2 linked regions of the Drosophila melanogaster genome follow. The protein of the gene in region 2 purifies or fractionates together with the protein of the main gene of each other region. This does not show direct contact. Each region holds a gene or a part of one and is shown on either strand. Other genes may lie near its edges.

Region 1 (5,129 bases), on a different chromosome or scaffold from region 2:
TTACTTACATACAACCATGTGAAACGTTAAATTGTTAAAAACAATTAAAATCTAGTTTTAATGAAATATCAGTAATACAGATAATACAAAGGAATTACAACCATTTATTACAAATAATTATCGTTGTTACAAATTATACAGATAACTAATATGAAATTATAACAAATGCTACTTTAGGGCGATTCCCCAAGCCCCCAGATAATTTATGATACCAAGTTAATGAAATAACCGAACAACAAAAACACCCCGCCCTAACAACAATAAGAATATATACACTTATATGATATACATACCTACAAAATGAATTCAAAGAAATAATATATGGCGATTGAGTTATTCTCATTAATTATTATATGTAAAATTAAATAACACAAGTAATAACTAAATGAATAAATAAATATATTTAAAATGTATCGAAAATCGATGTAGTAGAGTGTTTTTTTATTCCCAGCTAGGATGGAACCCCCCAATCTTAATTAAAACCTCTTCCTTTATGTTTTACTTTCAATATACATAATTTATTTCGTTGTTGCTTATGTGTTTTATATTGCTTTACAATAATTGACTAGAGTAAATAGCTTAGGAATACCCAGATCCCTGTGTTGCATAATTTCCACCCCCGGAAAGTTCGCAACCCTTGGTTTCTCTCTCTCGTTTTACTTGCAATGAGATCGCAGCAAAGTGACTAGAATGAGGAGGAGTTCCTGCCCTCCGGTTTGCTCTCAGGCGTGCAGAAGTCCATCGCTTTGCCCAACCAATTTCCCAAGGAGAGTCTGGTAGAGTGGCGACTCCGTGGGTATTCCCTCGCTCTGCAGAAACAGCAATGTTTCTCTGGCACACATGGCAAAACCCAGTGCCTCCGCCTGACTCCTTTGGGCTGGCGTCGGTGGCGCAAACTGGGCCGCCACCTCGGCATCCTCGTCACTTTCCTCAACATCCTCCGCTTCAGCTCCGGCAGCCGCATAGCCATCTCGATCGTTTAGATCCTGCTCAAAGGCATCCAGCTCCGCTTGCAGCTCCATTATTTTTTGCAGCGCTTCCAGAAGGATTCGATTGGGGGCATCTGGCGGGTTGGGGCAATTCTGCCCTGGCTCTTCTGCTGGTGGAGTTAGAGGACGATGGCGTTTCTCCGGAACCGCTTCAGTCGGTTGCTGCTCCTGTTGCTGTTCCTGCGGCTGGACACGTTGCTCCTGCGCCTGCTGCTGCTCCTCCTGGCTGGCTCGCTTGCGCTTCATGATCAGTTTGCCCGACATGCTTAGAGGATGATCTACTAGACTTAAGCTGCAATCGTTTGGTTTTCCAACTCGCTCCTGCGCGACACAACCTTCGTTCACCTGGCGATCGCCACGACTGAGCTGCGACCAACTGCACCCCGGCGACCAACTGGCAACTGCCGACTCCAACCCCAAAATGCGGCAGGGACCAGAGATAGTGGCATTAGGGGATGTGCCGCGCCAAGGAAATTAAAAACAACAATCCATCGGCAACCAAAAAAAAAAAAATTGTTGCAGCTGTTTGAGTTGCGGCAGCTGAAGCGGGAGGGCAACAGGATACTGGCTACAGGCCACAGCCTGAACGGCAGCAGCAGGATATTGCAACCCTCAGCTGGCGCTGCCTCTCTCTCTACCTCTCTCTCTCTCTCTCTCTATCTCTCTCTCTCTCTCTCTTTCTCTGCCGCTGCAGCAGCCGCGCTCCGAATATCCTCCCTTCCTCCGTGCATCCGTCCTGCACCCCATCCCCCCGGGATCACAGGCGCGCCCTGCTCGTCCTTTCCGACCTTTCAGTTGTTGTTGTCCCGTGTCCGTTTCCTTTCGGTGCGGCATAGCCGATTCCCAAGTTACCTTCCTATGTCCTTTTTTTTAATAGGGTTGCATTGAAGGGTGTGTGCGAAAATAAAGCATTTTAATCAAATTTTCTTTTTTTTACATTTTAAAGCAGACATAAATAAATTATCAATACCTTACAATCTTGGGTAATCAAGTTTTGAGCGTATAAATTTTCATGAATTTTTTTTGAATGTATAAGTTGTCAATTTAATGACGAATTAACTTAATTGCTACAAATAAACGAATCTGGACTTTTAATTCAGTTGATTTCAAATGAGTTTCGATCTGGTTTTAGCGAACAACGACCGATATATGTAATTGCTTAAATTGCTTTTCTTGGCAAAACGTGCACTGCTGACGCACTTAAAGAATAAGTTATTCAGGTTAGACAGTTAAGCTATTTAGGTAATATTTAACGTATCCGTTAAGCATTGTATTCTACCAATAAGCTACCTAAAATTTTGTTTGTGAACTTTGATCACTTGAACTTTGATCACGATGCTTCTTTACGAATATAGATTTTCGTATTTGCATACAAAATTCGTTTAATGTGCATATTTGTAGGAGATTCCCCAGTGCGGTATGCCCGACCATGATAAGCATTTGCAGCTGGCACGCTTCACATTCATCTCTTCGATCGGCACTTCCCCTGCGAGTTAGTTTGACCTGCCACTGCAATGATAAGTGCACACCTAAAAGCACTGCGAGAAATTTTCGAATTTCGTTGTCATGGAAATTGGTATGCGGTATGAGTTAGTTTGAACGAAATCACGTTTACCTCCGTTGGCATGGAGAACCAATTCTTATCGGCTTTATTGCCGATTGTTAACGTAGTAAAGGTGGAGTGGTCCCAAAATGCTAATCGATAATGCTGTCAAAATTTGGAATGAACATAATTCGCTTTATGGTTTATGTCCGCGCATTGTGTAATCATGACCATAATTTAAAATAAAGGGATTTATATTTTGGGTTTGTTGGAAGGGGGAAGGGGGGAGTGCTGAAATATAAGATGACACCATAAATGAAGAATCTCCTGTCCCAAGAAAAAAAAAAAGAAACAATCTCATTGATAGCAATAAATGTTTATTTATGGTCAAGGAAATTGGGCATTATTCGATTTATTTGGGGCTGCGAATTTGACACTATCTCAGCGAATTGTTGTTTCGCAATTTCGGAAGGGGCATTTAAATAATCACGCCCAGACGTCAAGTCTGTGAACTTATGATATGGATGGATTGGATATTTGCATTTAGTATGTCGGCAATGGTGTGTGTACACATTATTTACTTGATAAGCACTTGATGTTGTTAAGGGCGTATCAAAATTGAATCATATATATTATTTTTATCTCATTTTTATCGTACACTTGACATTGTGTAATATTGCGTGCTGGTTTTCCTCTCCCCATTTCAGTTAAACTTGGCCGAAGCATCTTCTATTTATTTTCGAACCAACTCAATTGCTGTTGTATCTTGTATCTTTCGGATATATTTAGGCGACATCTCGAGCAGGAAAGTTGTACCTTTCCCTTTCGTTTTTGAGTTATTTGCCCGAACACAGGCAGCAAATAGTAAATAGCAAATACATTATCCACAGCCGCAGCTGTCGTGTGTCTATTGAGCCATTATACATACTATATGATTGAACAGTTTGAGAAGCACGCGACAAGTGGCAGCGGATAATTTGGGGATGAACTGTGGCCCAAAACCCGGCAATTGTGATCATTTCGTGTGGGTAGAACTTCGCAGTAAACTCATAAAGTAATTTACGCGGCTGTTGAGTGAAATTCATCTTTCCAATATTTATCTATCCTTCCATTTTGGCGGCCATAAATCTGTGCAACAAGCAGGCCTCATTGTTCATCAATCGAATGTGCCTGAAAGTTCGCAGAAGACACTTGCTTGGAATTTTCGGGAAATTAATAACAAAGATCGGCTTACTCGGCACAATCGGCGGACTGTTGTTAATGGTGCGTCAATAAACATGTACAGTAAATACTCTAAATATAGGTAAGCAACCATGTTGCATATAATTTCGTGACAGTGAAAATGTTTTACTATGAAACAAAAGTGCAAATATTAATTACAGATATAGATATTCCAAAAATATCCTTTCGAATGCGTGATCTTTGATTCATGTGTTTAGATCACTTACAAGTAAATGCTGTTTGATGCTAGAGTTACGCCGAATGTAAATTCTCCGTAGCGAGCGTGCACTGTATATATTTTTTAGTACAATCCATATTTCGGCGTGGGAATGTCACGTTGTGTTTAGACAACTGTTGGGCCAACTACCTGCCTCTGTCTGAGTGGCTATGAGTCAGATAAATATATAGCCAATTCACCATTATCTGATCTATAACCGACGATTATCGCGCGATATGTCTGCTTCCGATGGCTTCCAAAACATCGAAATACAATGGGGTAATGCAGAAAGAGCATCGCATTGTCATTCTCAGCCAATTTAACCCGCAATCGCAATACGAGGCCTTATCGTAATCAGTCCGCTTCGCGAGGCAGTAAATTTCGGTTTTGCTGTTTAAGGTACTCGGCTTTATGTTTTCGGCTAATAACGGTTCTCGCACTCTCAGCCAATTTGGTGGGTCAGTCAGTTAGCCCGCGGACCGTGCGACGAGTGCATGTGAGTAGCGATCGTTGGTATTTGGTAATTCGTTGCTTCTGAAGTAACATCGATCGGGCCTTTTTGAGCCGAGTTAGCTTTTAGGCCAATGCCATGAGCAAGCTGAAGTTCGAGCTCGTTTCCGAGTTCAATCGAAAACCAGTTGACCGAGTGAAGTGGACCGCGATGGCAGAAATTTGTCGAGCAGAATGTGCTGGGGATTTGTGTGTTTTTTTTTTGCACACGCAAAGTGATAAGCGGCGATTAGATTTAAAACACCCAATAAACTATAAATTGCGATTTCTGCGCGCTCGTGATTGATAAATATTTGCCTCTCAGCAGTGGATTGGTGATAAGGTCGAAAAGGACCTTCAACAGTCTAAGTAGAAAATCTGGTTAACAACGTTTGAAGTGTTTCCATTACATGTGTAAAACCATTCGGATAAGAAAACGAACTAATACTTAAAACACGCTTCATTAAGTGGCAGTGCATTAATTTTTTATTAAAATTTTTAGATTTTCATGAGTGCAAAAACAATGATTATGACAAACCAGTTGCCGTGCGCGAATCAGTGCTTATTCACCGAAGATTATCCACCCACATTTCATCCCTTCGTGTGTGATAACTTATCAGCGATTGTTGTGTTTATTGTTCCAGCACCAAAATGTTACCTGCCCGTGGTC
Region 2 (7,156 bases):
GGCAGCTTGTCCAGTGGCAGCAAGAGCGTGTGCCAATGTAGTGTAACAACATCCCATATTAAAGATATTACAGAGTCAATAGCACACCATATAAGTGTGGTTGGGTGCCTCTCCAGCGCTCCAATGCTCCGACGACCAACTCCTCAACTCCCCAACTCCCATACTCCCCAACGAGCATCTCCCACTCCGATCACCATAACCGATCTCCTCGTGCATCCCGCTCGCTCTCGCTTTTTGGTCATAAACCAACTAAATTGAGTTCGTTCAACAAAACAGCGACGCATGCGCCGAACCCCGAACCCATAGTTGTAGCCCCTGAAACACCTCGTACCCCTTTTCCTTCACAGATCACACGGCGCGCTCTTAACGATCGTGTGTCCACAGTCATTACAATGTTGGCCAATGCACAAAAGTCGAAGCTGAAGCTGAAGCTGAGCTGAGTCTGCGACTGAGACACACTTACCGCACGCTGCTTTTCTCTTTCATGTCGATCCATAGCCATATAGCCGCAGCTCGAGTCGGTCGTGATCTTGCCCGTAAGTGGTCTTGTATCTTGAATTCGTAAAAGTACACACACACACACGCATTGAGTGGTGGCCCAGCCAGACACACACACACACATACAAAAAAGGGCAGGTGTGTCGATCGTGTGAGAACCACGTTCCAAACCATTTTCTCACGATCTTCGCTTCTGATATTTAGTTTTTTTTTTCTGGCCACGGTCCCCGGTCTTCAGTCTTCAGTCCCTTCCCCTACCTAAAAAATAAGACCCTTTCTTTGGGCCTCGGTCTTCGAGTGATTCGTATGCAGTTTGTGTATTGTAGTTTTTAATGACTTGGGCTTGCGTTCGAGCTCGATCGCCGGATTGCCGGATTGCTGTATCGGGGGTTCGGTTACGTCGCCGCCATTCGTTCATCATTCATCGGGTTTACCTATAAGATTAAGTATCTTTTGTGCCAGCATTTCCTTTTGGCATTTTGGGTGCGATTCCTCCGCATGTCCCTATAACCGACTTTTTCTTATTGCCCATTGTATGGTATGACAACTGGGCTTGCTTGGTTTGGTTTGGATTGGTGTTGGTCCTCTTATTGTCGAGTCCATAGTTGTGTCGCCTTGATCGGATCATCCAGGAATGGCCTAGGATCGAAAGTGAGCTATAATTTAACATGGCTCTTAAGGAGTGTCCATTATTACACTTTATGTTATCCCAGGGTGGAAGTGACATCCAAACATTGAAGGAAATGATCTTGTTCAGTACATTATAGGGTTTAAGATTACACAGAATTTGCAAGTGAAATACAAATATTTTTAGCGTATTATCTACAAAGGATATCTCAGAAGGATTTAAACAATTTAAAAAATTATAAACGTTTTTTTTTAGTTATTTATAAGCTAGTAACCATAAGCTATAAATCTTATTAATTTCCATAAATAATTGCTGGCACACAAGAAAACAAAAAGGACGGAAATGTAAAATTAAGTATAAACACTTAGGGCTGTTGTGAAGAAGATCTTCTTAAAGATAATCTACTTTCGGCTTTAGCAAGTTAACAGAATTTTAATCAGCTGAAAAATCTCTATAAATTTAGTTCCTTTTTAAATTTATTACACCCCGCCAGCACAGACTAGTCCCAAGCCAATCCTGATACCGATCTCGTTGACTATTCCCTCGATCTGCCCTGCGTCGATTTTTAAGACAGAGGCGTCTGTGAATCGGCTACTGGTCTTGGCACACAGATAACCAAATGATGCTGGGTCAGCCAGATCAGAAAAAAAAAACGAAAATCAAAAAAGGCTCGGGCAGAGCCCATAAAAAAGAAACAACAAAAAAACCGATATCCTGTCCCCGGCTGGAGCTCCTCCATCTTAAAGTTGCCCTAGGGCAAGGCAGTCATTTACCTGATCCGAAGCAATTATGTGCCCATAGCTTACCTTGACCATTGTGCACACGATTTTCTATCCGAGTGGCCAGGGAGAATCACGGCAACAAAAAATTGAGGAGAACAAAGCGAAATCAGGACGGATGCGGGATGAATGATGACTCGATCCCTTTTTTGGTTTTCGGTTTTTTTTTCGGGTTCCTTGCCGGCTCTATGCCCATTTGTTTTCTTCTAAGTCTGAGCGACATTGTCGTAACTCGATTAGATACGCTCAAAGATAAGACTCTAATATTTTCTGTTACCTTCGCTTATTGTCCGCACACGTGTTGGAGTTGCAACCACCAACTGGCCTATAGGCTATGTCCCGGTATCGGTAGCCCCGGCTTTGGACTTTGGACTTCTTTCTTCTCTCGTTCTTCTGCCTAATTCTTCTTGTTTCGGCCTTGGCATTGTTTTCGCTTTCTTTTGTCCGACGATCGTGTATGTGCATCCGTGGGGCGATCGAATAGTTACAGGGGACAGAGAGAGGTGCTATTGCGTTTCTAGCGTTTCCGTTCTAGACCGCAGACAATTGGAAACTGTCTGGACATGGGAGTGTCTGAGCAATTTGCATGTGAGTCACTAGATAGTGGCAGAAAAAGTCGTGATCTTTCAATTTTAGCTATATAATTTATTATTTATTTAGTTATCACATGAACTGCGCGTCCTCATCTAAAGCTTTGTGTGTTTATGGTGTTTACTTATAACTAGGTGGGAGTCGACTGGTGGAAATCCAGTGACTCGGAAGACTTTTACTTTCTATGATCTCTCCTTCGTTTTTTTTTTTTTCAGTTGTGGTGTGAAGTAATCCTATCTACCAGGGACGCCAGACGTTCTCCTCGTCCTCGCTGTCGTCCTCCATCTTGGTCACATCGATGGTGGTCAACAGGGAATGGCTGGTCGAACTGGTATTGGAGTTGGGACTGCCGGCGTAGCTGGAGATTGGCGAAATGGGCACGGAGTAGGCATCCCGATTGGCGATGTGCACGGAGAGTGGAGCGGTCACCGGCAAGACTTCCTTTTCTGCTGGCTGGATCTGATTGAGGCGCTGTCCCAGGTGGGTCATTAGCTGAGTGCCTAGGCTGACATTCATGCCGGGCAGCTGGGAGAGTGAACGGGAGACCTCATTGACGGCATGGATGTAGCCGGAACGGAAGCCCTCCGCCGGAGTCAAGCTCTCATCGCCGGAAGCCCGCTTGTGCTGACGCTGCTGCTTCATCTTTTGCAAATGGGTGACGGTAAGTTCCAGGATATCGGCTTTCTCCAAACGGGTGACGTGCTCGCCCTCGGACTCCAAGGTGGCAACCATAAGATCCTTTAGCTCGTCCAGGCACTTGTTGATTCTGGCACGACGCTTCCTCTCCAGCATGGGCTTCATCACCTTGCGGTACTGATAGGTCTTGGACATCTCGGACATTTGTAGCGACGACATTTTGTGTGTTTCTTATTGTTCTTTTTGTAGTTTCGATGTAAGCTGAGTTCTTTGAGCTCTTGCTGCTCCGACAGTCGAAGTCGTTGTGTGTTGCTAGACCTTCGGTGATCGGCCTTATATAGCTGGCCAGAAACAACCCCCAAAAAATGGGCCAAAGGGATCGTCGTCGTCGTCGTGTGTGCTGGCATTCGAGGAGCAAAAGGGACGGGGACACGCTTCGTGTGCTGGCATGAGGGTTGCTCGGTACCGACCCTTCCGCTTCTTGAGACCGCTCCTTATTGTTCGGGCGATTTCTTATTGTTGGCCCCGGCACCCTTATCAAACGGGCCAGGGAGCAGGATCGCTGCCAGGATCGTGGGAAACACTTTCCTACTCGGTTTCTCACATCGACTCGCTCACCTGCCCGCAAAAAGCAGCCGAGCATGGCCACGGCCATGGGCATGGGAATTTGCAGAGCGAACAGCTGCCGTTTCTAGATTTGTGTGTTATGATTTGACTATGGCATGGCAGGGTGAGGGGCATAAGGATAATGAACTGCTTGCATTATGCCATCTCATCGGGGTCCTCCGGGGTTCCCACGATAGCGGGGACCTCCGCCGGGGGATGGGGATAAGGATAAGGACGAGGCGTTGCGATTCCTCGACAACTTCCTGTTTACCGTTGGCATTCCAAATTGGATCGGGTTCGTGTTTGGTGGCAGAGGAAGGGACAAGGACAGAGGCATCCTGCACTTGTTGGTCGGCTGTTATGATCCTGTGGGAACATTGCTCGTGTGCGTCGAGTGCGCTTAATGCGTGTACGACTTCCCGATCCCCCCGACCCGGCAGGACCTCTGCCTCTCCCTCCATCCGCCATGTAAAAGGGGCCAGCGATGCTGATCCTGGAGCGCTGCTCGCGTGTGGCTCGCTGTGGACACACTTTCGGCTGTAAGTTGCTCGCGTTCCAGGACCTTTGTAATGGATGGATGGTTGGATGGGTGGTGCATTACAGGGATTTGTAAACGGAGTGGGGAGAGTTCAATTGACTTGAATTCAAGTGGACAGTATAACGGTATTTGGTATTTAGAATTATAAATTATTAAAATTCCAAGGAAAATATATATTTTCTATATATTTCAAATTAGATTTTAGAAATATATTTAAATATATCTGATATATCTTTTATATCGAAGAAAGCTAAATAAGAGCTTATAAATTATAATTATAATATAATAATTATATATATTATAACATTTTGTACCTATGTACCTATGGATTATAGCAACCTTGTTTATGTTCATATTCCAAATAATATAAAGCTTTTAAAATTTCAGTTTACGTTCATTTTATTATTCAAATGTTCATGGCTTATACTTAATGGTGTAAAGCGAAAAATATAATTTTAAAACATACACAAAAATTTGTTCTTAATGAGGCTAAGTGGAAGCTCGGTGGGGAAGCTCTTGCAAAGTTGATGAAATAAATTACAATGAATTAAATACATGAATCAGTAAGCCTATGGGAGATCAAATACAAAATACGAACTTAAGAACTATCACAGGAACATCACATCATATCAAATCAACTACCAACTAAATACGATTCTGAGGCAAATGTTTACACTAGACCTTGGAAAACTTGGATTGTTTCTTAATGAAACTGAGTAGTAAAGCTATCAATGTTAATTGGTTGCGTATATATGGAATGCCCTTCACCAGGGGCGCCAGACTTCTTCGCCATGATGAATATCCTCTTCTCGCGGAGACTTTGAACGTTTTTGGTCGGCTAGATTAACTGGTTCTTCGGCCATATCGATGATTTCTTCTTCCTGTTTCATGTCCTTGAGCTGGTGACCCAATTGCTTCATCAGGTGGGTGCCGAATTTGAGATCCAAGCCGGGAACCGTAGAGAATATGTGCGAGACCTCGTAGGCAGCCTGGGTGTATCCGGCCCGAAATTTGTCCAGGTTAACTTGGTCGGGTGGTGGGGATTGAGGATTGGCCACTCGCTGCTGCTGTTGCGCTTTCAGATAGTTGACGGTGAGCTCTAAGATGTCAGCTTTCTCCAGCTTGCTGACCTGTTCGCCCTGCGCATCCATGGTGTCCACGATGAGATCCTTGAGTTCGTCCAGATACAGGTTCATCCGGGCGCGTCTTTTGCGCTCCAGGAGGGGTTTGGTCACCTTGCGGTAATGCTGAGTCTTGGTCATAAATCTCTGACCCTGAACGGCCATTGTGTATAATGGGTTTTGATTTGGTGTGGTGATTGTTTGTAAATAAAGTTGCGATGTTGCGATGTCGCTGCTGCCGCTCCGCACTGCACGGTAGTCACTTGAGAAATGATCTTGCCGCAAGGTAAGCTGATCCTTTTTGTAGCTGCTGGTGCCGTACACTTGCGAAATCGAAATCCTCCCCTAACTGCCACCACGCACTGCGATCACAACGCTCCTACACGCCGACGATCACAACGAAGCATCAATCGGGTCACTCTCTGCTTGTGGCAAGATTCCCTCGGCGTTGCACGTGTGCAACATCAAAAAAATTGGATCGGGCGGAAGCCGCTGAGGCTCTCTTCTTGCACTGAAAACAATCCATATGTGGCAGAGAACAATTTTTAAAATCTATACTTTATATAAACTACTTTTAAAATATACAAGTTTCGAAGCATACTCTTTGGATGTCCATTCTGGAAACCAAAGTTTCTCATGCATCTAAAGTATCTTACAACGATAAGTATAAACAAAGAAAAAATAGTTTTATTGTACTTTAGAAACTTTTATATATTTAGAAATTAATTTATTTTTAATCAAAGCTTCTTTAACCTTGGTCATAATAGTAGAATGCCTTAAAGTTATTTTCAGTGTATTGACTAGGGTCCAATAACACGTTCTTCGGATCTTCGCCCGAGCTAGTAGCGCGCTCTCTTCGGGCGTCTCTCTTCCTCGTGCTGTTGCCGTGCGCCGGCGCAACAGTCTGAAGAAGGGTCTCCGAGGAAGAGCAGGAGGAAAGAGTCGGAGCAATCAACCACCACCACCAGCAGCGCACCACACGCACACACGACATCAGCAGCGACATGACCTCGACCTGCCTGGCAGCCATCCGTGCTCCCTGGTTCCCACTTCCCTCGAGAAAAGAGAGCCGAGCCCCATGCGTGCCGTCCTCACTTAAGCCAAAGAGCCAATCTTGTCGAGGCAATGCCATTGTTGCATATGGGTGTGGGTTTCTGCTTGTATGCGTGCAGGTGCACTGGAAAAAATGTTGTTTTGTAAACTGAAATATAATATTCAGAAATATGCAAAATGTGCATAAATAATATATTAAATTCTGTAACTAAACTATAATTTGCATTACTTTGCTTTAAAAGCAATGCAATCCCGAAGTCTTTATAAGCCATCTTTATAAGTTGCTAGTTTAGAGTTCGAATTTTCTTGCAGTGTGGCCTCTTCCCTTTTGGCGCACAGTCACACAGACCTCATTTCCTCTTTGGCGCGACATTGCGTTACACTTACGGGCACGGAGCACCATCATCAGCAGCAGAAGCAGCAGCAGCAACCACCGCAACAACCACCACCACCAACGGGACGGCAGCATAGCACCACCCAGGCAAGCGGCAAACAGCCGGTGCTGCGATGGGTCGGTCGGTGCATGTGCATCGTGAGAAAGTGTACTGGAGACATTCCCACAAGTATTGGGATTGTGCCGCACTTCTGCTGCCGGTTGCCCGGTTCCTCGGCCTCGGTCAGCTGTGACACTTGTTTGGCGCATTTTGCGAGATTGGGTATTCGGGGATAGGGCCATTGACGAAATCCACCTGCCCGAGGGTGAGTT

Evidence for each region. The genes of interacting proteins can lie anywhere in the genome.
Region 1: the proteins of E(spl)mgamma-HLH (region 2) and insb purify together in Drosophila melanogaster (affinity purification with western blotting, with the first as the bait; one study listed by BioGRID). This does not show direct contact.

What each region holds. Positions count from the first base shown.
Region 1 is NT_033778.4:17,474,714-17,479,842, forward strand, and holds insb (insensible), read right to left. Parts: upstream 1,560-5,129; 5' UTR 1,254-1,559; coding exon 723-1,253; 3' UTR 501-722; downstream 1-500. Other genes in the region: veil, read left to right, coding at 5,111-5,129.
Region 2 is NT_033777.3:25,996,138-26,003,293, reverse strand, and holds E(spl)mgamma-HLH (enhancer of split mgamma, helix-loop-helix), read right to left. Parts: upstream 3,444-7,156; 5' UTR 3,352-3,443; coding exon 2,734-3,351; 3' UTR 2,533-2,733; downstream 1-2,532. Other genes in the region: E(spl)mdelta-HLH (enhancer of split mdelta, helix-loop-helix), read right to left, coding at 5,041-5,562; CG43116 (uncharacterized protein), read left to right, coding at 6,402-6,541, 6,763-7,120. UniProt on the Drosophila melanogaster protein: Transcriptional repressor of genes that require a bHLH protein for their transcription. May serve as a transcriptional regulator of the Achaete-scute complex (AS-C) genes. Contributes to the neural-epidermal lineage decision during early neurogenesis.